7 linked regions of the Mus musculus genome follow. The protein of the gene in region 5 interacts with the protein of the main gene of each other region in a pairwise test. Links are inferred from orthologs where the notes say so. Each region holds a gene or a part of one and is shown on either strand. Other genes may lie near its edges.

Region 1 (4,146 bases), on a different chromosome or scaffold from region 5:
TGGGCTTGGGCCTGGAGGGCAGCAGTCCTTTTGCCCTGGGGGGAGCTGGTACCAAGGAGGCTGAGTTTGGGCCTCTGCTGCACTCTGGCCCAAGTAAGTCAGGATACCTAGTGCTTTCTCTTGTCTCTCCTGCAGAGGCAAGAAAACAAAATAGTCTTTTCAGTCCCTCTGGGAGCCCTAGATGTGGCAATAGAAAAACCCAGGGCTCAAATTTCTGGAGACGGGGACTGGTAGACAGTCATTTAACAAGGGAGATCAGAAGACCATTCAGGAAGCACCAGGGGCTTATCTGCAGGAGGAGGAAGAAAGAGAGGCTGCGGCCTGTGCAGTAGTGAAGATGGGAGAAGCTTTGGGAACAGTTTAAGGAAAAACCTGCAGAAAAGCAAAGTGGAGGAGTGATTTTTCAGTGGGAGATAGCACCTTCAAAGTTCGACGAGAGAGAGGAGAGCCACAGTACAAGTCAGTTTGAAAAGCACAAATGCTGTCTGGAGATGAGTGCCTATGATCCCAACACTTGGCTCAGGAGGCCAAGGCAGGGGGATTGAGAATTGGAAAGCACCCCTGGTCTGTGTAGTTGTGACCTCATCTCAAAAATAAAATAGCTTAAGACTTTTTTTAGTCCCATGGGAAAAGGTTAGCCAGTTTAAGTGCTGTACAGCAGTAACCAACTTACAGGTAATATCTCTCAGTCATATTCTAAAAATTTTAGAGTGCTTATCACCATATCCTAACAGTCACAGCCAGTCCCCACCCCCATGATTCCACCAAAAAATGAGGCCAACTTACCTTTTCCCGTCGCTTCTCTTCCTCATGCTCTTTATTGCCTCTGGGAACTCCTTTCCTTTCTTCCAGCAGCTCCCTAAACAGGTCCACAGGGCCAGAACTTGGAGCTCCTGGGTCTGCTGCTTCCAGCTCAGGCACTGAGTTTCGTTGCCTGGCTTTCTTCCGTAGGAATTCCGTACGGGCCTATGAAGGGTTATAGGGAAGACATTCAGAACCCAGAAGTGCTGAGGATACAAGAATGGTCCATGGGCAGGGAGGGCAGTGGTAGCACACACCTTTGAACCTAGCATTCAGGAGACAGAGGCACATGGATCTCTGAATTCAAGGCCAGCATGGTCTACAGAGTGAGTTAGTTCCAGGACTACACAGAAAAATCCTGTCTTGAAAAGAGGGGGTGGGGGTGGGGCAAATATTGAGAGCAAGAAGAGATACCATTTCTAACTTGGAGTGGAGAATCGATGTTTTTAGACAGTAAACTGGGCTATCAGAGATAGTTCAGAGAAGATCCCTGACCTAAAACAGAAGGCTTCCCAGTCTCAAGTGATGCAAGGAAAACCCACTCAGGTATAGGTATAGGTGGCTTGTTCAGCCATAGAGCCCCTGCCTTGTGTGTAGTTCCAAATTCAGTCCCCAACACAAGTATGTATATACTCCCAAACTTGTAAGGTAATCAAATATTGCTTTCTGGACAAAGGATCTAAATCCAAGGTATGGCTCCAGGTCACCACTCCAAGTACAACCTGACCCCAGATAGGGATGGTCTCTGATTCACAATTCTCCCCTTTCTGCAGCCTTAGTATCTGGGATTAATTACAAGCGTCACCTTTTTGTTTGTTTGTTTTGTTTTGTTTTGTTTTTTAAGACAGGGTTTTTCTGTGTAGCCCTGGCTGTCCTGGAACTCACTTTGTAGACCAGGCTGGCCTCAGAAATCCACCTGCCTCTGCCTCCCAGGTGCTGGGATCAAAGGCGTGCGCCACCGCCACTACCCGGCTTTTTTTTTTTTTTTTAAGCCCACACTAATTCATGATCAGATTGGCCAAGGGACTTAAGTGTAAACCAAACTAATCGAGTAACTTAGAGTCTGTGATGTGTGTGTGGTCTTCAATACTAGCGTTCAAGTGGAACAGGCAAGCTGAGTTCAAGACCAGCCTGGTCTACGTAGCCAGTTCCATAACAGCCACGGCTACACAGACCCTGTTCCAAATAAAACCTCCAGATGCTCTTTTCTTGGCAAGCAATGAGGGAGGGAGAAAAGACATGCCCAACGAAGTGGACCCCGGCTTGTCCGCCCTTTGCCCTCCTTGCTGAAGCCGTTGTACTCAGAGCAAGGTGACCGCACCCCTCCAAGTTGTTCTAAGAGGGAATTTCTCAAAGCAAGCGCTCAGAAGGAAGGGAGCATACACAGAGTGGGTGATCAGTAATTAACTTGTGCGGGCAACCTATAAAGTAATCAGAATATTTGTCCAACTCTTCCAGTATGCTAGTCTCTGGTCCCTCAACACCAGTGGGGAAATCTAGGAAGGTTTCTTGGAAGTTAGCACAGGATTTTCAGAGAAACATCGTCGAACACACAGACCCGCTCCCGGCACCGAGTGATAGCTAGGCCCGCCGCGCTTCTGGGCGGTCCCCAGGCTTACCTCTTGCTGGGCGAGCAGCACCCTCCGCTCCCGCTCCTTCTCCTCCTCCCGGGCCTGGGCCTCGTCGCGCCGCACGCGGGCAACATTGTCCTTGTTCCGGACGTGCCAGCTCTTCTTCGGCAAGATATTCATGGCTCCAGTGCCGACCTCGGACTGTCAGGCCCACTCTTCAGCACTTCCGATTGGCTCGAGGATGCTCCCGCCCCATGGTTCCACCCTTGCTCGTGCATTGGTTCTGGGCCAATTGTCACGTCCCATCCTAGCCTTGTTTAGAGATTATTGGCTGAGAGCCTTCCATCTCAGCCAATCCTAAGCATTTGTAACCTGAGTTGCTCCACCCCCGGACGCTGCTTGATGAGGCTGTTGCCTGTCTATTCCTTTAAGCAGACATAACCTAGCTCTTCAGGCCGATTTGGACCTGGCCCCTCCCCAAACCCCGTCCGAGGCTTCAGAACGGGGTTTCAAAACGCAAAGCGGCCTTGACTGTTGTTTATTAATACGGTTCAATTGAGAGTGTAGCATTCGGGTGGCAGAGGGCGGGGAATTTGGTTCCAGAGATGAAAGAGTCCCATCACTTGATATGAAGTCACTGAAGCTGAGGGGCTGAAGGTTCAGCCAGACTTATCAGGAAGTTCCATTCCTTGAGCTCAGAGCCACAGCTCGCTGGGCCAGGAAGACTTTATTCTGCACTTCCTGCGGGCAAAAAGGAGCGAAAGTGAAGCACACCTTTTCATTCTTCTTTCATAGTCTCATAGAGCCCTTTCCGGGGAAATCAGCCTGGCTCACCGTCTCTATCTGGCGTTTGAGCTCAGAGATGAGGCGTCCGTAACAGTTAGCCAGGGCTACGGTATACATCATCAGGATGCTATGGAAGACAGGAATGAAAATCACTCTAGAAAAACAATCATCTTCATCATATGGCTCCTTAGAAACCAGGCTGGAGAGATGGCTCGTAACCGGAGCACTGGCTGCACTTCCAAAGGACCGGGGTTCAATTCCCAGCCCCACATGGCAGCTTACAATTGTAACTCAAGTTCGTTACTTCACACAGACAGTCACACTGTCCAAATACCAACACACATAAAAATTAAATGAATAAGTAAATTAAAGAAACCAATATCAGGATCCTCAAATCCCTTAAAACCCTTTTTGAGACTCTGAACACAAGTCTTTATCCTCTCTCTTTAGACCCAAAAGTTCAGACCCTTTAACCAGAGGTTAAACTAGAGGTTCAGGCTCCATACCTCCTCCCCCTTCATCAAATCGATAAATCCACACCCTAGCCCTCCTTTCCTCAGACCAGGAATCCAAACCCAGATGTCTTTTCTTAGACCCTAAGCATTCACACTCCGACTCTCCTGCTCTTGATTTATAGGCATCCCGGCCAGCCCCACGTCTCTGTTGTATATAGGCACCCAGCCCACCTCTCTAGCACTCAGGTGCCCAGAAACTCCTTTCTCTTTCAAACACTAAATTACACACATTCAAAGTCTGACTGCTCACCTAGAGAGGATCAGAAGAGGTACAGTAAAAGCTTGGGTTCCCAGAAAGTAGAGAAAATTCTGGGCAGTCTGAGGGAGGCTCTCAATGGCCTCAGGGATCTGGGCCCAAATGGACAGCTTCCCGCGGAACGGGCCACACAGTTTCGAAGGTGGGATCCTGTAGGGGGAGACACACTGGATTCAGTCAAGTCGAGCTAGAGTGAGAACAAACAGAAGTCTCTCGT
Region 2 (3,677 bases), on a different chromosome or scaffold from region 5:
TAGAAAGCTTGACAGAAACTACACCTACCTTCACTCCATGTCCAATGTCATCTAAAATTGTGTAGTCAATAGGTTTTCGAATATAACGAACTGGCCGCTCAAGGTTGGCTGGCGCAATAATCTTATGGGTCCTTGAAGTGTTTTTATTGGTGGTCAAAATACCAATTTCTCTTCTTGCAACCTTCTCTTTATGAATATCAACTGTCTGTAAGATATAATATAAATAAGACAACACAAAGACAGATAGCCCTGGTATCCAAATAAATAATAACCAAATGCCTAGAGATTCAACAATCCTTCGTATTCATTTCATAAACCACCTTTTCTCTAGACTATTGTCTTTATTCATTTTTAACCTAATGCAAGGGTCACCAAAGCATGCCTTCAAATATAACCTGGAACATCACCTGATTTTTACAGCCCACAAGAGCAGAACTTAGAATGTGCATGTGTACATGTCTGCACAAATACCTATACAAATATGTACACACATATAGGTGCTAGTGTGTGTGTTCACATGGAAGGGGTGTACATATGTATATACATGCTTGTGCATATGGAAACCAGAGGTCCACTTTGAGTATCATTTTCCATAAGCTGCCTCCCTTGTTTATTTGAGTCTCCCACTAGGACACAGGTCTTACTAATGTGTCTGAGCTGGCTGACCACCTAGTCCCAGGCACCTGTTTGTTTCTGCCGCCTGGCATGAAGATTCCAAGTGCACACTACACCCATCTTTTTCCATGGGCTTGGGGACAGAACTCAAGGCCTTATGGATGTGCAGCAAAGACTGGAGCAACTGAATCATTTCTCCAAGCCAGAGTGATCATTTTCAACAGAAAAGAAAAATAAATAAATTAATATAAATAAAATAAGAAGCCAGGCATGGTGGTAAATGACTTTAATTCCAGCACTTAAGAGGCTGAGGCAGATAGATCTTTTAAGTTTGAGGCCAGCTTGCCTGCTCTACATAGAGAGTTCAAAGACAGCCAGGACTATGTGGAGGGACCCTATCTCAAAAAACAAACAATAAAAACAAAAAACAAAGAAACAGCAGAGAATAGTCTTGTTATATTTTTAAAAAACATATTAGTATAATCTAATATTATTTAAATACTACAAAGAAGGAACAAGACTAAAATATAAATATTACAAATGGGGATCAAGGGGTAGAGTGAGGGAGTATACCATTTGCCTAACATTTACAAGTCCCTGACGTAATTCCCAGCATCCACCTCCTCCCTTCAAAACCATCATTTGACAGAAAAGCTTGTTAGCTTCAGCAAGTTGCTTACATCTTATTAACACAACATTGATCACATATTTCATTAGAATTTATCAAGTGCTCACATTCATAGTACAAATAATATTTTTATTTATATTCTTTAATTATTTGCTAACAAATAATACATTTCTCATGAAACACTAATATAGCATTTCACATAAGTTATAATTTTGTAATCTATAAGTAACAAATATTTTTAAGGCAATACAACAGAAAGATAACTGACTTGAGTCAAACTTGAGTCATATCCGTTACTGTGCTGTGATGGGTAGACATAACCTATAATACTTCCCCACTCTGAAATAAGCCAAACTGTCTAATGTTGCCAAGCATCTCCCTGAGGGTAGAATTGCCAAGATCAAATACCAGAGATCTAGAAAAACTTCTAACTAGTTTCTTGCATTACTTACTCAAGTAACAACTGTGACTGCCTACACTGGCTAGACTTTATGTTAACTTGACATAAGCTGAAGTCATCTGAGAGAAGGCAACCGCAATTGAGGAAAATGTCTCCGTAAGATCGGGCTGTTGCCACGTCCTGGGTTCTATAAGAAAGCAGGCTGAGCAAGCCAAGAGGAGCAAGTCAGTAAGCAGCTCCCCTCTAAGCCTCTGCCCCAGCGTTTGAGTTCTTGCTCTGTCTCCAATGATGAACTGAGATAAGTAAGTATAAGTAAAATAAATCCTTCCCTCCCCAAGTTGCTTTGGGTCATGGGGCCTCATTACAGTGGATCTCTAAGACACTGCCAAAGAACAGATATTTAGTGTCATTAACTACTTTTCATTATTATCTGGATACAGAGCTCATAGCTACTCTCCAGCACTATGTCTGACTGTCTGCCACTGTACTTCCCACCATGGTGATAAAAGACTAAACCTCTGAACTGTAAGCCAGCTCCAATCAAATGCTTCCCTTTATAAGAATTGCTGTGCTCAACATGAGACACTATTCTCACAGGAATAAAACACTGACTAAACCACCAAAGGGGAATTTTAAAAGCCTACTGACAGGAGAAAAAAATTAAATTAGCCACCAAGCTATCAAATCATTATTTTTAAGGCAATAAAGACACCAAACAAACAAACAAACAAACAAAAATCTGTCAAAAAAAAAAAAAAAAAAAAAAAACCTGGGTGGTAGTGGTGCACTTCTTTTTAATTCCAGCACTCAGGACAAAGAGGCAGGTGGATCTCCGTGAGTTCAAGGACAGCCAGAGTGACACAGAAAAACCCTGTCTCAAAAAAACCAAAAATAAAATAAAATACCAAAATAATTTTTCACTTCAGGAGTGATTATGTGACTGTGGCAACTGAGTTTTAATAAAATCCATCAAAATTTACTTTTCTGTCAAACTATAAAGATAATAACATCACAGCAGGACATAAAGTGAGTAAGTAAAACAATATATTAAAAAATTAAATTAAAAAAGATAACATCACAAAAAGAATCATAAACAATGCAATACTAAGTTAATATGTTGCAAATACATGCACATTAACCTGCACAACAAAGGCAAGTCAACAAGCTGTGTGTTGCTCATAGGCAAACAAACTGAACATGGTCTCACTTGTGAAATATGGTTGATTGAAGACTCCATCCTCCGTAACTGTGATGCCTGGATATCCAGCATCTGTAGGACATTGTTGGCCAAGGTGTTTATCAGATACGCAACACTTGCTAAGGATTGAGTGGTGTAGGCTTTGGTTTCTTCTAGGGCTCGCTGCTTATCTGGTGACTGTGAAGGAGGAAAATAGTGACCTTCAATTTAAAGATAATTAACTTCTAGCAAACTAACTTAGTCATTTAAACCACAATGCTACTAAACCTATACCAAGTTTAAAATATTCTGAAAAACATCATTGTTACACAATTCCAAAACTAAATGATTTAATGAGCTCACTGATATTTTCAAGATAACTATACATTTTTATATATACATTTTTATGTAAGTACAAATAAAGTTCTAAAGCTAGTATTTAAAATCTGAGTTCCAGTGTATACTTTGAGCAATGACAGCACATACACATCTTCCCAATTTAACTCCTTCGGCAGCACTGACATGAATGCACAAATACTTATTCTACTTTCTCTTGATTTCCTTTTATTCTCACACACAAAATGTGTTTGATCAAAGTATTAATAATGATAAATAAAATGTCTGATAATAAAAATAATTATAAAATTAAAATGCGAGGCTACTCTGTTCTCATGTCATTTAAGAGACAGCCTTATGGGGTAGAAATTGCCAATGTCGGCCCTTTCTTAGCAGTCAGTAGCACCTATCTCACAACTTCCACAACCCAGAAGCCTTATTTGAAAAACAGGGATTATGCAGCAAGAAGTAACCAAATGACTATTTTCCAGGTTACTGCAGACCAACATATTTTATTTTGC
Region 3 (4,244 bases), on a different chromosome or scaffold from region 5:
CAAAGACTGCAGCTCTTCCTGCCCACCTAAGTCCCAAAACATGAGACGAGCCTTTCCCACGTCCACAGTGCCAACTGGAAAGAGTACAGAAAGAGCTAGCTCCTGACCTTTACACACAAGGTTCCAGCTCTCCCCAGGATGGGACAAACCATTCTGGTACCAATCCTAGGGAACTTGAACACAGAATAGAAAGACAGGGTTTTGACCACTGGTCAGCTGGGTTGTGGACCTTACAGCATCCATCTCTAAGGGACCTCCTAAGATCATATCCCTAAGGTGCCCCCTTACTGTTTAGACCCACGGTAGTGGTGATTTTGGATAGACTCATCCCCTTGTAGTTCTTGTTAAAGCGTGTTTTTGACTGTTCCAGGAAAGTCTGAGGAAAAAAAGAGAGGGGGTTAGATAGCAGCAGCTAGAGTAGTTTTCTGGTGTCCTTCCCACCTATCCCTTCACACCCATGCAGCCATGCACGCCTCTGCCTGTGGCTTGATCTTCAGGAGGCTGGTGACTACTAACCTGTAGCCTTGGGGCGGGGGTTAGATCAGGCAGGGAATGGGAACTGGTGAGAGAGCAGGGACCTACCGTCTTCCCAGCATTGTCCAGGCCCAGGATCAGGATGCAGTATTCATCCTTCTGGAACATGTACTTGTACAATCCCGAAAGCAGCGTGTACATCCTGTTCTGGCACCCTGAGAGATGTCAATGTGTGTACCGGGGGCATCGGCCTCCTGCCCTGCCCGCTTCATCAGCGGTCCGCCTCTCCTGCTAGTTTTCAAATGTGTAGCCTCGCGGATCCTGACTCTTCGCCCCCATCCCGCCTCTTCTGTTAAAATCCCTGACCCTGATTCCCCCGATGCCATCGCTGACCACGTGCTAGACCTGGGCCACTCCCACTTAATGTCATCTTTCATAATGCACCATCAATTCGGAGTCCTGAAAAGCCCGTGGCGGCCTGCTCTGCTCCGCCTTCCTAAGGCTCCTCTTTCCGAACCCTCAACTCAGAACCAGGAAACGCGGCCGGCGACTTAAGTCTAGGAAGCGACCAGAGAGGCAGAGCTCCTGAGGAGGGTCGGCTTCGGCTTCCCGCCGCCGCCGGGCCCACGGAGCCTGGGAACCAGCAGCTGAAGCCACTTCCGTCCCCCTGTTCCAGGACTTTAGAACCCCGGCCCCTCAGTCCAGCTGAGGCCCACCCGTACCTGCTCAGATCTTGGAGGAGGAGCCGCCGCCGCCGCCGCCGCCGCCGCCGCGTTCCTAACCCCACCGACCTCACGCTGACCCCTCACAGTGCCTGACGGAACAAGGAGCGAAGGACGGAGCACGGGCGGAATCGCATCCCAGCGGCCCCCGCGCGCAGGTACTTCCGGCAGCTTCGGCTCTCCGGCGGAAGTGCCCGGCGGAGGGCAGAAGGCTAGCGCGTGAGCTTGGCTGGCGAGGGCGGAAGCCCTTCTAGCCTGCGAGCGCCGGCCGGAGGTGGGGTTGCGGGCCGCAGAGGACGGGGCGGGTGACGTGCAGGTCCCCCTCGGCGGAACCGCGGCCCTCCTCAGGCTCCCTAGCGGTTTTGGGGGCGGCGTTGCCCTGAGTTGTTCTTACTGCTCTTCCTCCTGTTTTTGTCTGCGGTAAAGGTTCCGAATCCTGCCTGCTGGGTCGGGATGGACGAGGACAACCTAGAGACTGCCCTGCAGACCTACCGGGCCCAGCTGCAGCAGGTAGAGCTGGCGCTCGGTGCTGGCCTAGACGCTTCTGAGCAGGCGGACCTGCGTCAGCTGCAGGGCGATCTAAAGGAGCTGATTGAGCTCACCGAGGCCAGCCTGTTGTCGGTCAGAAAGAGCAAGCTGCTGTCTACAGTGGACCAGGAGAGCCCAGCTCAAGAGGATGCTGAGTACCTGGCTTTCCAGAAGGCCATTGCGGAGGAAGTGGAAGCGCCCGGCGCCCCCTGCAATGACTCGGAGACGGCCCCTGGGAGCGAGGTGCAGCCGGGATCCACCTCCTCTGCACTGGAGGAGGAGGAGGAGGACCCAGATCTGGAGGAACTGAGCGGTGCTAAAGTGAATGCCCCCTACTACAGCGCTTGGGGCACGCTGGAGTATCACAACGCTATGGTAGTGGGCGCCGAAGAGGCGGAGGATGGTTCTGCGTGCGTCCGAGTCCTCTACCTATACCCTACCCACAAGTCCCTGAAGCCCTGTCCGTTCTTCCTGGAGGGAAAGTGCCGGTTCAAGGAGAACTGCAGGTAAAACCCTCTGCTGCTAGCAATGAAGGGCACGCAGTCGGGACCACCGCTGTGGCCTGTCGCCACAACTAGTTTGGCACCCAGCAGAGTTGGTAATAGAGTCCAAACCTTAGGTGACTGACAGGCTTTTACAGAAGTGTTCTCCGTGTGTTTACTTAGATTTTTCTTGCATACATCAAGAAGTTTGAAAGAGCTTATGTTGAAAAGATAGGGCAATCCTTCATCAATATTCTTCTCCAAGGTGTAAAACTTTTTTTTTCCCCTTTGAGATAGCAGTGTAGTAACTCTCGATGTCCTTGAATTCTTGATCCGTCAGCAACTCTACTACATCCTGAACGCCTTCAGTTTCCAAATGCTAGGATTACAGGTGGAGGCCACCACTTCTACTGGGCTACATCTCCAGCTCGGAACCTTTTTTCTTTTTTTCTCTTTTTAAAAATTTATTGACTATGCTGAGGATGGAATTAGGGCCTCCAGCACACCAGGCAACCAACTACTGTACACCTTAGCCCCATCCCAGCTCCTGTAGTTTGCATAGTCTTACAGAAAATTTCAAACACATAATCTCTTGCTGACTTGCCCTACCTTCCCCCCCACCCCCCGTGCTACTTGAAAGCACCTTTCACAAGTTACATCTTTTTCTCTCACCCTCAAATACTTCAGAATGTAGCTGAAATAATAATTACTAAAACTGATTTATGTCTTTTTTTTTTTTTAACTCAGTCATCCAGAATAACCCTCTAGTACTTTGAATTTATTTATTTTAGGCCACTAAAATAAAAAGATTTGTTCTATTATAATGGTAGTAGTGAACTAAAATTAGTTTCACTTGGCAGGATTTTAGGCAGGGCTAGAGCCTTGGAAGTCTGAGGGCAGAATCCAGAACCCATTTCTTTGTCCATTTTTCTTTAAGGTTGTTATTATTATTTTATTTTGATTTTTAAAAAAATATATTTTAAAGATTTATTTATTTTGCTGGGCATTGGTGGCGCACACCTTTGATCCCAGCACTTGGGAGGCAGAGGCAAGCAGATTTCTGAGTTCGAGGACAGCCTGGTCTACAGAGTGAGTTCCAGGACAGCCAGGGCTACACAGAAAAACCCTGTCTGGAAAAACCAAAAAAAAAAAAAAAATTATTTATGTATGTGAGCACACTGTTGCTCTCTTCAGACACATGAGAGGAGGGCATCAGCTCTCATTGCAGATGGTTGTGAGCCACCATGTGGTTGCTGGGAATTGAACTCAATACCTCTGGAAGAGCAGTCAGTGCTCTTAACCACTGAGCCATCCCTCCAGCCCCTTATTTTGACTTATTTATTTTTTACTTTTTTAATGTTTTTCTCTAAAGATCCATCGGTTGCTTTTGTCTCATTTTGTTTTGGTAAGGTGGTTTGATACATGGTCTCTATGTAATCCTGGCTGTCCTGGACTACATACAGCTATGAAAGGCCTTGGCTGGCCTTGAACTCACTACCGAAAGGCTGGGATTAAAAGTTTGCACCATGGCCTGACTATTTTAGGCTTTTTTGAGACAGAGTTTCTCTAGTAGTCCTGGTGGATTTCCTGGAACTTACTATATAGATCTGGCTAGCCTGGAACTCAGAGGCATGCACTACCATTTCTGGCTAAGATATATTTTTAGTTAGTGTGTTTGTGTGTGTGTGTGTGTGTACGTGTGTACGTGTGTACGTGTGTACAGGTGCCAGAAGAGGGTATAGGATCTCCTAGAGCTGGCGTTCCAGGTGGTGGTGGTGACCTGCCGAACATAGATCCTGGAAAACAAACTCAGGACTTCTACAAGAGCAGTATCCTCTCAGCCACTGAGCCATTTCTCTAGCTCTATGTATTTACATTTATCTTTAGATTGCGGTGGGGGTGGGGCATGTGTACAGGTAGGTGCCCAAGAAAGCTAGAAGAAGGTGTTGGATCTCCTAAAGCTGGAATTGCTCACAGAAAACATTAACCACTGAGCTCTCTCTCCAGTCCCCAGAGACCACCCATATTCCCTGTTTTG
Region 4 (4,365 bases), on a different chromosome or scaffold from region 5:
GTTGTAGTGAGGAGTAAGATTTGCACACGTTGAATAGAGAGAAATGAGACGCCACTAAGCCATCTTTCCCGAGCTTACTCCTCTCATTTTAACTGAAAGTGGGGACAGACACTGAACAATCCTCCCTCCATTTCTACAGCTGTAATTAGGGGGTGCAGCTGTTCCAGGTACATATACTGATGTTGGAGCTCTAGCTGAAGGACATTGTATGACAACAACTGGCTACCCAGTTGTAATTTCCACCCCAGAATATTAAAAAGCTACCACCTGTTGTTGTGTATGTATGTTTGTACAAAGTGGGTCTAGAAATAGGTAAGAATTAAATAAATAAATCCTGGAAATAGGTCATATACAGAAAATCATCTGGAGACCTGTCAGGCTCTATGCAGGGCATTTATCACCATCTTCATAGCTCAGTTTTTTAAGTTATTATGCTACTTCAAGTACAGCATTTGACCTACTTACACTTGCAAATGCTTCTAATGTTAGTGGAAGCACACTAATCGATCCACTCTAGCAGGTTTCTTTCCCTTCCAAATCGGTTCGGTTTTATGCATAGTCACAGAAAACGTTCCAGTAGTGAACTCTCCAAAACCAGTCCAGGGTCAAGTCAGCCTTCTTGGACCCCTCAGACCTGACCTTCAGAAAGCCCCTTGATAACTTGGGTCAACAGATTTGGTCCTGCGTACATGTATTCCTCCTGTCTTGTCTTTTTTTGTGCTTGAGGCTTTGTGCCAGCAGTTAGGCCTCTGTCACCATCTCAGTATTGAGAAGGTATAGGTTCTCCTAATCCTAAAGATACATTTTGTTTCAATTTGTTGTTTTTTTTTTTTTTTTTTGAGACAGAATCACATAGCCCAGGTTAGCCTCAAACTCTTTTTGTATCTGAAGATGACCTTGAGTTCCTAGCCCTTCTGCTTCTTCCTTCCTGGTGCTGGGATTGCAAGTGTGTACCATTATGCCTGGCTCCCAATTCTGCAGAAAAAATGACCCACTCCCTCTCACTCTTTCTGCTTACAAGACAGAAGCCCACCGGGGCTGGGCCACCTACCTCCCAAGACCTCACAGTCGCTGTCCATGCTGTCATGCACACCTGCAAAGATGTTGGCCAGGGTGGACTTGCCCACTCCTTGCTCCCCTATAAGCACTACTCGGTAGTAGGTGTTTCCAGACTCAGAAGAGATGACCGAGTCTGTGGAGTCGGACGACCAGCTCCGCCGGCAGTGCTCTTCCGGAGCAGTAGAGTGGCGGTTTCGGAGGTTGCAGGGGTGGGGATCCTTCTGGACCATCAGATGCCTGGCATCAGCAGGGATACTCCAGCGCTGCTGTGGCTGCATGCCCACAGTGCCTTGGCGCATGGTGACATTATTCAGAGTCATTGCGGGATCCTAGGAATCAGAGCAGTAAAGATGGCAATATGATTAAGAATGAGCCAGGCCCAGGGGCGCTCAACACAGTTGTCTTTGGTGCTTCATTTGATGGGTATGAATTCTTAATGTAAGAATCAACCACTAAACTGTCCCTAAGCCTAGAAAGCAAAATTTTCAACAACAACAACAACACACACACACACACTCAGTAACTAGCTTCTCAATCAGGCTGTCGTTTGTAGTAGCAGTAACACCATCCATCCATTGCCCATAAGCTCCCTCTGTCCTTAAAGGAGCTTTGGAAATCCCACCGGGAGTTGGCACAGAGGCAGCTGGAAGGAACCCATTGCCTCCAGAAATGACATTACCATCAGCAACAAGTTAGAGCTGCTGGGCACCAGCTGGCCAGGTTAACTGTTCTTGTCTAAACATGGCTCTTAATTGCCCCCGCATCCTGCAGTCTTGAGCCTCAGTGGGAAACACGCGGCAATGACATCACTCCCCTGGCTGGACTGGACAGGCACTTTGGGGGAACTTCCATGTTTAGTAAGGTTGCCCTGATGTCCTCCAGCTGCCTGACTGAAGAGGCCGTTATTTGGGGAGTGGGACAGTTTCTGTTTGAGTGCTATGCCTCAGCTCTACCCTCTTATCTACAGAAACTGTTTAGCGTAGCAGCCCTGAGGCTGGTTCTTCTGAGAGGGGAAGGACCTGCTCACATTCAGACACATCACACTTGTACAAAAAGGGCTTCATTCTTAAGGAACGTCGTCCACTCCATGATTTTTTTACTGTATATAATTATTTATTTTAAAAATTGCACCTTTCTGACGTAAATTAGAAGATCAGAGACTCAGTGAAAAGCCACTCAACAACTTCCTACAACTTTTTCCTTGCAAGACTGCCTTGCCTGACAGGCAGTCTGTTCTGCCAAGACTGCCCGAGATAACCGCTCTATGGTTTTTAACTCAGCAAGCTCCCCGCGTGAGCGCAAGGATCACGCTCAGCTCACACACCCTACTCCATACATCACACCTATGCCACGATCCAGAACCAGCCGGTTTCTTTTTAAGTCTTAAAAACAGTCCCTGGGTTGACAGACTTGCGACAGCAGACCTTGAAGTCTGCCGCCTGGCCACCTAATCTGTAAGGTGACACTCCTCCGAAATTGAATTTAGAAACCCCCATCAGAAGCGCATCCTTTGCGCCTGAACTTCTTTCTCCCACGGCAGAACCCCCGGTACAGACCTAGGGAGTCTAGGGACTGGCTGCCTTCCTAACTTAAAAAGTTCGGAGACCAGGAACGCCCCTTCCCACAGAGGCTCCCACTGGGACTGCCCCTCAGCCATGGCCCCTTACTTGGCTGCACTGGGCGCTGGGTGGGCGTCTGCCGTCGATCCGCCTGCTGCAACGCCTGACGTCTGCGATGCGGGCTCCGCAGTCCGAGGCTGTGTGATGTCCGCTGGCAGTGCCGCCTCCTGAAGCCTCCGCTGCCCGCCGCCGTTTATAGCGCGCCCGGCAGCCCCGCGACGGGGCTTTTCCGTGACGTCAGCGCTCCCGCCGGGAGGGGGCGGCTCTGCAGCAAACTGAGTTGCAGCCACTTGGCTAAATCAGTTACTCGTAGTCATGTGACTCCCCTATCCCCTTGAGGGGAGTGAGGGAGAAAAAAAATGACAGTTCAATCGTTGATTTTGTTTTATTTTCTTTTTATCAGGTGGACACTGGAAAAATACACTTAGTGCTACTTAATCGCCCTTCCCAGCAGAGCACTTGTAAGCTGTCTGAATAAAGGATGAGGAAAGAAACAGGCCCAAGCCGCGAGTCCAGCTTTGCCAAGAAAACAGATCCGTCTGAGTGAGCGGGACTCCGGCCTCCAGGATGAGGCTACAGCCACCCTGAGTGGACAGACCACCTTCAGAGCATGCTCTGAGAAGCAACCAGGCCCTTCCTGCTTCCTGACTTCTTATCTCTGACTTGGGACATACTGCTTTGTTTCCTTCTTCTGGAAGAGATCCAAAAGAGAAGAGTCGGAGGAAAGAGTAGGGGATCTTGAAAAGGGGCAGGTTGGCTCCAAGCAGCTTGTGCTAAACACTGCCATCCCCCTGTTTTGGCCACAATGCTGAATCTCCTCCATCAGAAATTTAATCACACCCCAATCAGCGCATCTCAGAACCGAGCTGCTCAGCATGGCTGGAACTTTGGCCTAGAGCCAGGACTTCCCAGCCATGGGGAGATACAAGGAGGCTCAATCCCCTGAGAGAGCCCTACTGCTTCTATCATTTGCTAAGATTTGCAAAGACCTGTGGTTCTGGTGGGCCTGGAGAACCTTGCCCTTACTACAGTTGTGGATTGAGAACAAGAGGCCCTGCAATGAAACCTGCCTTAAGTACATTTTAAACTGCACTGCTAAGTGACCTCTTCCCCAGGACATGGGTATTTCCCGGGGACGTGGGCATTTCCCACATGCTGTGTTTAGAGTCCATGCTAGCCTTTCCAACACATCCATCTGCTTCTCCAGCCAGCTTCTGCTGTGGGTTGGCTGGCGGCCCCTCGGGAAGCAGCCAGCACCAGTGTCTATTGGAGTGGCTGGGCTGCTCTGTGGTTACAACGGTGTCACGAAGGCATCTATGCGATTTGGGAATTATCCAAGTGACCAGCTGCACCTCAGGTCTGTCAGGGACCAAGCTGGCAAAGGTAGAATCCACCAAATAAGAAAGATGGAGAGTGCCTTAGTCTCAAAGGCAGAGCCCCAAATTTATTTATGCACAAGGAAGATAAGAGCCAGAGCCAGAATAGACTATAGTTTGGCCACTCAGGAAGACTTTAGGTGGCCAAACTAAAGTCTATTCTGGGTACCATAAAGCTCTGGATACGGCTCTTCACCAGCCACGTTTTTCCTCAATGTTAACACGGTGGGAAGGGACACGGATGTAGAAAGAAAATGAGGAAAAAGGACTGGGGGGGGGGGGGAGAAGAAAGATGGAAACAATGAGGGAGA
Region 5 (4,297 bases):
GCTGAAGGCCCCCTGCCTGCTCGTGGCCGACCTCCACACTGGCTCTCCCACACCACCATGCCTCTTCCCTTCTTCGTTCTCCTCCCGGCAGCTATGAGTTACAACTTGCCTGCCGTTCCCGCCCCCACCCCCAACCCTGGCCCCACTGCCCGCCCTCAGCTCTCTGTATCAGTTCTTAGATGCTTTCATTCACGTGACCATAAAACCCCAAGAAGGGACCCTGATCCCACAGTATCACATTGGCTCTGACGGACTCCCCAAGAGCCTCACTAACAAATCCTCCTGCATGTTTTTTGGTTAGGTTTTATTGCTGTATTGTAAAGACCATACCCAAGAGCAATTTGGGAAGGAAACTGATTTATTTGCTTTACAGATTACAGTCCAAAGACATTTTTAAAAAGAACTGAAGTAGAAGCCACGGAGGGAACGCTGCTTATTGGCTTGCTCCCTGTGCTTACAGCACCCAGGACCACAGGGGGAGGCCCCACCCACAATGGGCTGGGCCGTCCCACATCAATCATGAATCAAGCAAACGACACCAGTCTTGCCTACAGGCCATCCGATGGAAGCACCGAGTCCTTTTCCTAGATATCTCTAGTGTGTATCAAGCTGACAGGGGAAAACAAAAATAAGTCCAGCCAACAACAAAACCCACCAGGACCCAGCCTTTTAGGGTATTAGAGAAAACAAATTAGTTTCAGAACCAGAGATGGCACCAGACTATGTATAGATTTGTAAGATGTGTAAAAAGATGACATATGCTCTTTGTGGGTCGCGTTGGCACACGCCTTTAAGGCCAGCACTCAGGAGGCAGAGGCAGGCAGATCTCCCGAGTTCGAGGCTAACCTGGTCTACACAATGAGTTCCAGGACAGTCAGGGCTACACAGAGAAACCCTGTCTTTCTTTCTTTCTTTTTTTTGGGGGTGGGGGGTTTCGAGACAGGGTTTCTCTGTGTAGCCCTGGTTGTCCTGGAACTCACTTTGTATGTAGACCAGGCTGGCCTCGAACTCAGAAATCCACCTGTCTCTGCCTCCTAAGTGCTGGGATTAAAGGCGTGCGCCACCACGGCAGGATGAGAAACCCTGTCTTGAAAATTCACAAAACCAAAACCAAATCAAACCAACAAGAAACCCCAACTCCGTTCTTTCCCAGCGACAGAGAAATAACTAGAGCAAAGAGGAGAACAATAAAACTGCTTCCTGGAGAGAACTCGACATGGGGTCGCGAGGACATTTTAATCTCTCAGTGTCCTCGTGACGCTGGTAACGCCAAGTAAGACTCCAGTGCCTGGCGACGGCTCGCCCTGGAACGAGACGGCCACTCAGCCTCAGTTCCGATGGGAACCAGAAGCAGCGCGAGGCGGGATCACCGGCCCTTCCGGGTTGCAGACACGCCCCCTCCGGCGTGAAGTCGCTGCCGGGGCAACAGCGCGCCACTTCCGCCTCTGAGCGATGACGTATTTCCGATGCGCCGGTAAAGGCCACATCCGGGTTTGGGCTGGCGGGACCCTCGCAGATTCGGGGACGCTGGGCGAAGGCTGTGTGGCTCTCGCGGATGCTGAGCGAGGTGAGCAGGCGGCGGGGTGGCGTCCCGGGAGCGCGGGCTGAGGCTCCGAGGCTCCGTGACGACGGCTTTACGGTTTCCCTGCGCTCCGGGCCCGCTGCTGACATTGAGCTGAGCGTCTCCTGTCCCCTGTGCTGGGGAGGTGGCGGTGCTGTAATTGAGTGGGCCTAGGGCTTCCTGCTCCTTTGAGGAAACTCAACATGTGCTGGTTGCTGGGGTCGGAACCTGTTGAGTTTCGCCGGTGCATAGTGAGGAGGAGGAGGAGGAGGAGCAGCGGGGGGGGGGGGGAGCTGTTAGTCACCGCGGAGCCGTTTTCACGCTGTCAGTCACTGGTGTCACATAGTGAGGATGTTACTGTGCAATGCACACAGTGTCGGGTCGGGACCTTTGAATGTGATAACCACACTCACAGGTGTTCATAGAGGCGCGATTTAGACTCAGGCTGGGGTGTTAAGTGTTAATGATTTTCACAATCATTTTGAAGGATTCACTTCGCAGTCCTGACTTGTAATGAGTGTGAACCTGAAACCCGATCATGGAGTGGAAGAAGATGCTTTTTTTTTTTTTTCCTTTTTCCTCCCTTTCCCCCCGTTTCTGTTTTTTGTTTGTTTGTTTGTTTTGTTTTTTGTTTTTGTTTTCAAGACAGAATTTCTCTTTAGCAGCCAGCCCTGGCTGCCCTGGAATTTGCTTTGTAGACCAGGCTGGCTTTGAACTCAGACCCCCCTGGTCTCTGCCTCCCTACTGCTAGAGTCAAAGATGTAAGGGTGCTGTTTCTTGAGCACCTACTGGGAGCGGAGCTTTCGTTGTTGTTTTGTCGGTTTTGAGACCAGGCTGGCTTTGAACTTAGAGAGATGGATCTGCCTCTCTGCCTCCAAAGTGTTGGAGCTTTTGTTTTTCGAAAGTATCATCTTAATCAGTCCTTACAAGCTTCTCCTGGAACTGAATGAATGCAGTTATGAGAGAGAGAGATGAATAGCTACCTGGGTAGAACACTGTTTTTTCCCTACCCTCTAGGAGTGACTGCAAAGTGGCATTCAGAAAGACTGCAACCTTCCAGTACCGTAGAAGCCGTTCAGGGAAGGAAACCTTCAGTCCCGTGGAAATAGTATTTCAGAAAATGCTCTGAAGTTTCCCTGGAACTGCAAATTGGCTAGATACAACTTTTCCTGGAGAAGTAAAAAGACCAACCTGGTTTCTGAGGTAATAACATTTAGAGCTGTTGCTTCCTTTCTGTGGCATATGTGCCTGTCATTCTGTGGCCCCGCCCCACGCGTGCATGGTGATTGACTCTGACAAGGCATTGTGCGTTAGGCCCCCTTCGGATGGCTGGGTCTGACTTGTCTCACTTGTCACGGAGCTGGTCATTTTGCCCTTTGTTTAATGGCTGCTTTACTGAGTTGGATCATGAGGCTCATTAATAGCTTTTTGACACTGGCGGATCTTCTGCTAGCCCCAGGTTCTCACAGTGCTGTTCTTGTCACCGTCCTCTAGTGACTGGCCATGTCTCTGTCCCACTTGTACCGGGATGGCGAAGGCCACCTTGATGATGACGATGACGATGAGAGGGAGAACTTTGAGATCACCGACTGGGATCTCCAGAATGAGTTCAACCCCAACCGGCAGCGCCATTGGCAGACCAAAGAGGAGGCCACCTACGGGGTGTGGGCGGAGCGAGACTCGGACGAGGAGAGGCCCAGCTTTGGAGGCAAAAGGTACTGTGTGCTGGGCTGCATGCCCTGGGTCTGGAGGATCGGGAAGGCATCCCAGAAGAGTTTTCTGCCCTTGTAGAGTCCGGGTGCTACAGCATCTTGCTATGTGTTGTTGAGCTGGGGTGGCGAGCTCCCCCTCAGCAGTTACTGTGTGATGGGATCAGGGCTACTTATGGATAGGGAAGTGCTGACCCACCACAGGCATGGCAGCTGTGGGGCCATGCTGTGTCAGGGAGCACTCACAGGGCACTAGAGAACAGGGAGTTTAGAGAGGGTGCTCTGGAGAAAACGCTGTTGGACCAAACGGAGGTAGAAAAGTGAGTAGGTCCACAGGGGAGAGTGGTAGTACAGCCTGGGGTCCACATTAAGATGCTGTCTCAAGTCTCCCCACCTAACTACACTCAGAATGTTTTGATTAATTTTACTTAGGATTTTTATCTGTTTGAGTTGTTCTGACTTTTATCCTTGAAATAGTATCTAAAACAAACACTGTGTGTGTGTGTGTGTGTGTGTGTGTGTGTGTGTGTGTGTTTACAGGCATGCTAGATAAGTGCTGTACCACTCTAAAGCAAAGCAGACACTAAGCTAACACAGTCTTTTCAGTTGTAAAAGGGGGCCCAGTTTGATGCCTCGGAGGTTGTTGCCATGCACACCTGGCTAGCTGGGTTCAGTCACCAGATTCCTACAGGGAAGGGGAAAGGGACGAGATGCTCTACAAATTGTCTGCACAGAGCAATAATGGCATTTTTGAAAGCGTCCAAAGGAAGTAAGATTATTACATCCTAGTCTGAATTTATACTCAACCCTACTGACAGTGGCAAATCTTCAGTTATAGTTTGAATCGAACAGACCCCACGAGTGTAAAATGTGGGCTGGAAGAGGACCCAGGAGCAATTGAGATTGAACTCAATTGCTATTGCAGACCTGAGTGTGGCTCCCAGCCAGTGCCCACCTCAGGCAGCTCACAAGTGCCTCTAATTCCATCTTCAGGGAATCGAGCCTTTGGCTCATCGGGCACCCACAG
Region 6 (4,116 bases), on a different chromosome or scaffold from region 5:
ACTCACCGTAAAAGAGTCTCTGGGGTTCCTCTGTCACCCCACAAGGCAGCATGACACCCTGGCTTGGGGAAGCTGGACTGAGGGTCTGAGTGGCCTTGTCTTCCTGGCTTATGGGCCGGAGTCCGGGACCACAGCAATGGGTGAGAGGGAAGAGCTGGAGTCGACTGAGGGGACAGTCCAGCTGGCTCTGGGCAAACAGGTCAGCAGAGAGCAAGCCCCCAGGCTGTGTCCCTGGCTCCCCATCCTCTGACTGGAACACATCATCTTCTAGCTCCTCCACACACTGAGGTGGCTCCATCTCTCCTGTCAGAGAACAATGGAAGCATCTGGGCTGCTGTCCTACTGAGGCCAGACCTAGGATTCCCCTCCCCTCCTTCCTTCCCCCCTCACCCCCCACCCCTGCTCTTCTTATGTGAGGGAACCAAGCCAACTTCTGATGATACACAACCCTGGTAATAAAACACCACCAAGGGTGACATTCACCCCCAAAATGTGGCCTCTATGGTCAGGGCCCCTCCATGCCTTTTCTCTGTACCTGCCAGAGCCACCCTCCCCCCATCCCCCACCCCACCCCCTCCTCTGACCTAGGCTGGTCACAAAGTTTGACACTGAGGATTTGCGAGCAACAGCAAGGGTAGGATCAGGTGCTACCACCGGGTACCTGGGGACATAGAAGCAAGACTAGCCTCTGTAAGTGGCTGTGGAGGCTCAGAAGGGGACACTTACTGACTATACAAAAGTGCACAACATACTTATGTGCACACACACACACACACACACACACACTTCCTAAGCAGGAACCTCCAGGCTCTCGGCGAAGTCTGAACTCCAGGCTAAGCAGCAAAAACAAGAGCCAGGAATTGTAGAGCAGCCAGGTTCCCTCCTAACGTGCTAAGCCCCACCCTGCTGCACATCTCCACCCCCTCCTTGCACAACACAACAAACAGGCTCTGTGGTGTGGTGAGTGTGTCCTGGAACAGGGGACGTAACTTAGTCACTCCAGCTGGCCAGCTGGCTTAGCTCCCGTCCAGAGGAGCAAAGCTGCCTGCTCACCACAGGTTAATCTGGAGGGTTGAATCGGCCTCTAGCAAAGTGTCCAGCTAATTCTACTCGCTAATCTTCGTGACTTCCAATTCTCATCCACTCAGCCTCCCATTCCTGCCAGAGCTGAACCTGAGATAGGTGCAAAGTGCCTCGCAGAAGGAAGTGAAATTCAGCCCTCCTGCTGAGCGCTCTCTCCCTGCCTACACAGTGGGGCTGTTTCTTAGTGTTAAGTTCCTCTCGCTCCACCTGACAGCTCATGAAATTCTGCACTTGGAGTCACCCGGCAGCTTGAACTTCCAAGCTGACCTCGCCTGAGTTAGGGCCCCTGGGGCAACCAGAAGCATCAACAAGCACCTGAATGGTTAAGGAGATGCAAGGACAAATTTTGTCATCATCAGACTGCTGGGGATTCCAGGGAGTTCCGATCCCCACTTTATTGCCTTTGAAAGACAAGCCAAGTAGTTTGTGGGGCTAAGTCTTTACAGAAATCTCAGTTAGGTTCAGAAACCTTACTTTCCCAAATGCAAGCTCTGTGAGGTTCTTACTTCAACCCTCAAGCCTTACCCCATCCCACCCCTGAGCTATCCGTAGTCCTGTGCCCTCTTCCCTGGAGAATGACTCCATGCCTGCTATTGTTCCGATAGGAAAGGGGTAACTCCAGCGTAAAGTTTCCAGATGAAAGGACCAAGAGATGTCACCTAGCAGTGCTTCTTCTGTCCTTCAACCTCTTCTTTGCAGTGTGGCTATCCCAACCAAAGTAGGGACTCTCCAGAGCCAATCACAAGCAGGAGTCATTGTCTTGGTGTTTCTTTTGAAGCCTATCACTCCCCTCCCCCTCCCAGCAAAGCCCCAAAGTTCAACCCTTGCCTAGACTGGACAGTGGGGGAGGTGCAGCCAGAGGGTGTGGCTCTGAAAACGCGGAGGACCCCCCCCCACTTTGCACAAGAACTGCAGGTGGCTCTCCAGTTAGTGTGAACCTCGGAGGGGCTCTGGGCAAAGTCAAAAGTAAACTGGGGAAGAGTGGAGACCCTCAGCTTCCCTGAGCTAAAGTGGTAAAGTCCAGACTGATAGGAAGAGGGCACTTCCTGAGAGCACCGCCAGGGAATGCTTTATTCCTAGCAAAGGTCTTAAAGTCCGCTGGAGCCATCGCAGAACTTCGGCGATCCAACTAGGATGCTCAATATAAACTCCTCCTCTTAGGAGTTAGCACTAGCCAGATACCTTGAACTCAATAGTGGCTAAGATCTCAGGACACACGCGCACGCACATGCACACACGCACACACACCTGGGTGACTCCAGGACAGCGTCTCAGCCTCCGAGTTGTGATGCCAGGGCTCTGCGCCAGGGTCCAGGGTGAAGAACACTCGGGGGGCTTGGTGCCCACACTCGATTGGGAAGAAGGGGGCAAACTCCAGCTGTTAAGAAGAGGAGCCTTCAGACTCCGCAGGGAGGCAAAATGCACCACAACTTACGGCCCCACCCCACAGTTACACCCGGAGGCCAGAGCGTCCGGGAGCTTGGCAGTGGACCCCAGGATCATTTGCTCACCTACTTTTAACTCCGAATTCCAAATGCTTCCCGAAAGCCCCTCTTGGAGCAGCAACCACAAATTTGTGCTCTGCACCTCGTTCCCACATCCCTGCACCCCAACTCCCCGTGGTCACCCCAGATGCCCGCAGTCCAAACCCTTCCCCGGGCCCCCACGCGCTGCGCGACTCCGCTCCCCACTTCCCGGAGGAGGTACGATCCAACTCCGCCTAGCCCCCCGCCGCCCGGGCGCTCACCGGGCTGCGGTGGGAGGCGGTGGCGCGGGCTGCGGCAGCGACTGCTGCAGGCGCGAGCTGGCGCGGGAGGAGGCCACGGCACACCGCGCGGTATTGTTTCCAAAATACGCCCGCTCCGGGCATCCCGCAAACAGCTGATGAGGCCCCGCCCCTCTTTGCGTCACTCCAACCACTGACCAATGGCAAGTGGAGGTCCAAGTCTCAAGCTGGGCAGCTGCCAGGGACAATCACCAATGTACAAACCTTCCCTTGGAAACATTATAAGGGGCCGGGCGCATTTCTGACCTCCGTCAGAAGCGCAATTGGAGCGCTGTAGAGGGTGAGGATTCGGTTCCTAATGCAAGCCCCAGAAACGACAGAGAGTCCCTAGGTTTTCTACTAGGTAGTGGGGGGACAAGACGCCTAAGTGACTTTTGTCTACTTGGAAATGGGCTGAGTTATTGCAGGACTTCCAAAAAGCCGGCTCAGGAGGAGACTGGGAGTTTTCAGACGCGCCTTGTAATATATAGCGGAAAAAAAAAAAAACCGAGCTGCTGGTCCCTAATAAAAAAAAAGCAAAACAAATAAAAAACCAAAACAAAAAACTGCCCTCTTTCCTGTTGGGCGTGTCTGAGGAAAGCTGGAGGAGAACACGTGTGTCTGCATCTAGAACCAAATGACATTCGGATCCATCAAGTGCAAAGAAAGGCCATGTCCTCTCTTCTAGACTGTGGAAGATCACTGTTGAAAAAAGGACTCTAGCAGAGGGGAAATCAAAGGGGTAGCTCGGACAGCCCTATCTATGGCAGCAGCAGAAGGCTGTTCTTGGACTGCTAAGAAAGCAAAACGCATCTCGTGTACTATGGCCAATCTAGGGATGACTCCACATTTTTTTGAACACCTACTATGTGCCAGGTCCTGGTCTAAGTGCTAGACTTCTGGTGCCTGACCTCAATGAACCGATACTTCACATGTGAATGATGGAAACCAGCTTGAATGGTGCTATTTTAGGGATAATAAGCAAAGATTTTTGAGTCGGGCCTTGAAGAATGGGGAATATTTCACTAAATAAAAACCAAATAAAACAGTCCTGACCCAGAGAGGTCAGGGAGCTAGAATAAAGTACTTAACATGTCTGGAAAGCAAGATCAGCTGCACGCCCCCCCCGTCCCCCCTCCCCCCCATCAAGCTCTCTGGCATCTTCACTATGATTTAGGATGTGAGGGTATGGGCAGGTAGATTCAGGTCAGATTGCAGAGGTGCCCCCTGGAATACCAGGCTGAGGAGTCTGTATTTTTTAAAAGTAA
Region 7 (3,835 bases), on a different chromosome or scaffold from region 5:
CCACAGGAAGCACAAGGCCTCATATTTGTATTCTCCAGGCCTATAGGGAAAAGATTGCCTCTCTCAGCTCTAGAGGCAAGAAGCAACCTGTAGCGGTCCATCAAGTCTGCCCATTGGTTAGACAACATAAAAATGGCTCTAGGCACGAAGGAAAAAGATCTGAAGTTGGCCTCGAAGCTCAAGGTGAGCTTATAATACTTATTCCATGAGAAAAGAATGAAGTGTAAGAATGCTTTAAAGATAACAGCCTTTGGTCTGTGGACTCTCCTTTACAAACAGTAGGCAGGGGTGGCAGTGGAGATGGGGGGACTGGATTGGCACTGTGACAATTCCCCTGACACACGGCGTCCCTTTCTACCTTTCAGTTGTCTGTGTTCAGTTTCAGTCCAAAACAAAATGGAAAATTCTGGAAGAATGCAATTCATATATTTTGTGTGTCTGAGTAGTGTTGTGAGACCTTGTACCATGCTGGCATCACATAAGGGTCACAAATCATCCTTGCCCAGTGCGTCCATGCTGTATACACTACCCACCTGTTAGCCAGTGACATAGTGGCCTGACCCCAAGTCAGGATGCTTACATTATTTACCAGGTGTACATCATCACATGCATGTTCTGTCATTTCAAAGGGGTGGCAATAATACCATAAAATATTGAGGGATATAGTATTTTTATTACATTAATAAATCTGGGGAGCATTAAGAACTAATTACAGTTAAATTTTGTTTTTAACAACCCTGTTTAATGGCAAAGTATATATATTCGCCAACAATGTTAAAAGTAGATGATAAGGCACATTGACAAGCTAAGTTACCCTTTAATCCTGTTGTTTTTTTTTAACTGTTTTACACATAAATAAAGCTAAACAGTTACCTTGAAGTTTTCATTGCCAAAAATTTCTGAGAAACATGAAGCTGGCTATGTTTTTCCCCATGCAGGGGCATGACCCAAAAACAAGGCTATTCTTCCAGACCAGAGCCCACAGTTCAACAAAAACAGTTCATCACAAATGCAAACCTGAAACCCTTCTAAACCAACAAACCCCTACAATTTAAAATAAGATTCTTATTTGCTTCAAATGGCCCAAAATACATAGAACATGTAAGCTATACACTATACTTTGTGGACTGCAGAGTACACATTAAGAAAAAAAAAGTGTGGTAAAATACATGTCTTAACTAGGTACTCTGAGAATTTCAAATGCTACTATAAAAATGGGTGGTATAACCCGTTAAAAAGTTTTCCAAGTGTTCTAAATCTCCGGAATCTACAACAGCCCCAGGGACACAGACAGTGAGGATGTGGGTCCCAGACAAGGAGCACGACCCCATGCTGCAACAACTGCCCTTCCTGAAAGTGTGTTTCTATTTTCCACGAAGGATACTTTTTGGCTTGTAGATTATTCCCTGCGCCTCAATTCAGTTGCAGTAGCTGTTACTTTGAACTTGCTTTTGATTTGGTGCTCAGCATGGTCTTTGAAGCTCTCTGTTCCTTGAGGCGTGGGTTATGACCACGATGATGGCGCTCGCGTTCTGCCTGCAGCCGCTGCCGCCCTCTGGTCAAGGCTTCTAGGTACCACTGCTGCTCCTTCGCCAGCTGCCGGTGCTTTTCCAGCTGGCTCCTCACAGCATCCAACCTGCCGTACTCCTGGCTCAGTTGCTGAAGCTCCTTGCGTAGCTGCTGGTTCTCCCTGTGGAGACTGCCACAGAACTCAGAATGAGCCTGCTTGGCTGCTAGCGCCAAGGCCTTGTACTTCCTCGTAAGCCCCGTGGTGTTGATCTGCCCCAGCTCCATCAGATGCCACTCTTGCAGCTCCTTCTCCATCAGTGCCTTTTCCCGCAGGAACTGGAAGTGCGCCTCCCGGTCCTTGGTCGCAGTCTCACTTCGGACTTTCTCTTGCTCCTTCTCCAAGGTCTGTATTTTCACGTCCTGGCCCTCCTTTATCTTGTAAACTGGCTTCAGTGCCTGCAACTGCTGCTTCAAATCCTTCTGGGTCTTTCTGCCCTGCAGGAGCTGGGCTTGAAGAGCTGCGTTTCTCTGGTTGTATCTGGATGCCAATTCTTGTCTCTCGCGTTCTATCTCGCCACATTCTTGGACGTACTGCTTCCACAGCTCCTCCTGTTTCTTCTCACACTGTTCCTTATTTTTACGCAGGTATTCCATGAAAAGCTGGTTTTCAGCCTGCACACGGTATTTTTCCTCTAGTAGCTGCCTGCTGTCCTTCAGCAGCCTTTCCCGCCGGCATTTGGTTTCTTGGATTTGCTGGCTCAGCTCCTTCATCGCCACCACTGTCTTCCTTTTTACCCGTTTCTCCAAGCTCGTTAGCAACTTTGGCTTGAGATATGTATTTAGAATAGTAAGGTGTGGTGTTGGCGGGGGTGCATCTCCAGGGCTCTGGGCAAGCATACTCCTTGAATCCCCAGGTCAAGGAGAGTGACTGCAAGAGAGCATGGGATGGTGGTTTGTTGTTTCAGGGCACAGAGTCCTGAGCAAATGTTCCCAAGGTTTCTCCCTCTGGTGGTCAAGGCGACCAAGCGACACTCAGCCTGCCAGGAAGTCAGAGCAGGTCAGAGGCTGTCCAGGGCTTTTCTGACTCTCTTTCCTTTTTGTTAAACAGTCACACTGTTTGTTGTCCAAACCAGTGCCAGGAAGTCCAGACAGGTGTCAGAACAGCATATGTCCTCCCTTCATAACGAGGAGGGTAGAGAAAACAGACCTGCTTGACTTTTAGAGTTTGTCAACATACTCAGCCTGGATTCCAAGTCCGGGCCTCACCACGCAGTGCATGAGGTGGCTGAAGCTGAGAGGGGTTTTAGGCCAGGCCTGTATGAGCACCGATGACCCAGCACCAGTAAAGTCCATATAGAACATCTAAGGTGATTTAGGACAATCATCACTCAAGATTTCTGAACCAGGGGTAAGAGTCCAGAGAATTGGTTTCTGTGGATATATGACTGCAGTTTTAAGGACTACCCGCTAATTGCCTTCTCCCCACTCACAAAGAAACCCTCTGTCCAATCCTCAGAAAGCTCTGAGCCTAAGTGGGGGTCCTTCAGATGCTAAGGTGGCTAAAAGGCCTACCCAGCCTCTGGCAATCGACTGTGCATGGAATGTCCATGTCTTCTGCCTTCTCTTGGTGTGTATAGTCTACATCAGGGTGTCGGGGGCTCTTTCTGCAGACCCAGTTCCTAGTGGGGCCAAAGTTAAGGGCGACTGCAGAGTCTTCTGTATGCTGTTCAGTGTCTCAATCCTTGAATACAGATAAGATCTCTTAGAGTTCATGAAAGGATGTGGAAGCTCTAAGAAGTAACATCTTCGTCCAGGACTATAGGTAGTTGGATCTGTCGGGCCCCCTGACCCCTGACCCCTGACCCCCGACCCCTTTGGCTCCCTTGGCAAGACTGTTATACTCTCCCAGAGAGTGATTCCCTAACTGCCCAAGGATTCTTCCAGTGATGGTTTCCCAGACTGCTCCCTTGAGATTCTGATTTGGGTGTTTTGGAGAGGAAAGAGGGATCTGGGGTTAATGCAATGATTCTTGCCATCAGAGTTTGACAAACACAGCGGTCATATCCCCTCACACCACAGCTCCCCTCACCCCATGGCCCCAAGCTGGAACTCAGCCTGTGCCGGATGCCTTGAAGATATGAAACCACGGGGCTTCTATAATCACTGTCCCCATGAAATCTAAATATAAGAAGACACAATGCCCATGTTGGGTAATAGCTCTGCTTCTATAGGCTCTGCCTTGATTTCCTGGAGATTCAGGATGTGAGACACAGACGAGTGCCCATAACTGGTATAATTGTGCTAACTCATCTGTTGGAGATGGGCT

The links.
Region 1: the proteins of Tfip11 (region 5) and Leng1 interact in binary tests that used the Homo sapiens proteins (3 or more experiments, as listed by UniProt). The link is inferred for Mus musculus from reciprocal best matches to the Homo sapiens genes TFIP11 and LENG1.
Region 2: the proteins of Tfip11 (region 5) and Abi2 interact in binary tests that used the Homo sapiens proteins (3 or more experiments, as listed by UniProt). The link is inferred for Mus musculus from reciprocal best matches to the Homo sapiens genes TFIP11 and ABI2.
Region 3: the proteins of Tfip11 (region 5) and Zgpat interact in binary tests that used the Homo sapiens proteins (3 or more experiments, as listed by UniProt). The two-hybrid records come from large-scale screens. The link is inferred for Mus musculus from reciprocal best matches to the Homo sapiens genes TFIP11 and ZGPAT.
Region 4: the proteins of Tfip11 (region 5) and Gem interact in binary tests that used the Homo sapiens proteins (3 or more experiments, as listed by UniProt). The two-hybrid records come from large-scale screens. The link is inferred for Mus musculus from reciprocal best matches to the Homo sapiens genes TFIP11 and GEM.
Region 6: the proteins of Tfip11 (region 5) and Bmf interact in binary tests that used the Homo sapiens proteins (3 or more experiments, as listed by UniProt). The two-hybrid records come from large-scale screens. The link is inferred for Mus musculus from reciprocal best matches to the Homo sapiens genes TFIP11 and BMF.
Region 7: the proteins of Tfip11 (region 5) and Ccdc121 interact in binary tests that used the Homo sapiens proteins (3 or more experiments, as listed by UniProt). The two-hybrid records come from large-scale screens. The link is inferred for Mus musculus from reciprocal best matches to the Homo sapiens genes TFIP11 and CCDC121.

Annotation. Positions count from the first base shown.
Region 1 is NC_000073.6:3,662,896-3,667,041, forward strand, and holds the start of Leng1 (leukocyte receptor cluster member 1 homolog), read right to left. Parts: upstream 2,946-4,146; 5' UTR 2,553-2,945; coding exon 2,421-2,552; intron 967-2,420; coding exon 787-966; intron 130-786; coding exon 1-129. Other genes in the region: Tmc4 (transmembrane channel-like protein 4), read right to left, coding at 3,045-3,113, 3,207-3,285, 3,924-4,079.
Region 2 is NC_000067.6:60,433,584-60,437,260, reverse strand, and holds part of Abi2 (abl interactor 2), read right to left. Parts: intron 3,019-3,677; coding exon 2,851-3,018; intron 206-2,850; coding exon 29-205; intron 1-28. UniProt on the Homo sapiens protein: Regulator of actin cytoskeleton dynamics underlying cell motility and adhesion. Functions as a component of the WAVE complex, which activates actin nucleating machinery Arp2/3 to drive lamellipodia formation.
Region 3 is NC_000068.7:181,364,023-181,368,266, forward strand, and holds the start of Zgpat (zinc finger CCCH-type with G patch domain-containing protein), read left to right. Parts: upstream 1-1,400; 5' UTR 1,401-1,649; coding exon 1,650-2,230; intron 2,231-4,244. Other genes in the region: Arfrp1 (ADP-ribosylation factor-related protein 1), read right to left, coding at 1-74, 289-376, 583-675. UniProt on the Homo sapiens protein: Transcription repressor that specifically binds the 5'-GGAG[GA]A[GA]A-3' consensus sequence. Represses transcription by recruiting the chromatin multiprotein complex NuRD to target promoters.
Region 4 is NC_000070.6:11,702,928-11,707,292, reverse strand, and holds the start of Gem (GTP-binding protein GEM), read right to left. Parts: upstream 2,847-4,365; 5' UTR 2,727-2,846; intron 1,389-2,726; 5' UTR 1,380-1,388; coding exon 1,052-1,379; intron 1-1,051. UniProt on the Homo sapiens protein: Could be a regulatory protein, possibly participating in receptor-mediated signal transduction at the plasma membrane. Has guanine nucleotide-binding activity but undetectable intrinsic GTPase activity.
Region 5 is NC_000071.6:112,324,907-112,329,203, forward strand, and holds the start of Tfip11 (tuftelin-interacting protein 11), read left to right. Parts: upstream 1-1,462; 5' UTR 1,463-1,567; intron 1,568-2,578; 5' UTR 2,579-2,764; intron 2,765-3,055; 5' UTR 3,056-3,064; coding exon 3,065-3,276; intron 3,277-4,297. UniProt on the Homo sapiens protein: Involved in pre-mRNA splicing, specifically in spliceosome disassembly during late-stage splicing events. Intron turnover seems to proceed through reactions in two lariat-intron associated complexes termed Intron Large (IL) and Intron Small (IS).
Region 6 is NC_000068.7:118,546,710-118,550,825, forward strand, and holds the start of Bmf (bcl-2-modifying factor), read right to left. Parts: upstream 2,978-4,116; 5' UTR 2,954-2,977; coding exon 2,831-2,953; intron 2,462-2,830; coding exon 2,332-2,461; intron 891-2,331; exon of another isoform or gene 672-890; coding exon of another isoform or gene 662-671; exon of another isoform or gene 585-661; intron 304-584; coding exon 7-303; intron 1-6. UniProt on the Homo sapiens protein: May play a role in apoptosis. Isoform 1 seems to be the main initiator.
Region 7 is NC_000067.6:181,508,980-181,512,814, forward strand, and holds Ccdc121 (coiled-coil domain containing 121), read right to left. Parts: upstream 2,473-3,835; 5' UTR 2,407-2,472; coding exon 1,435-2,406; 3' UTR 654-1,434; downstream 1-653.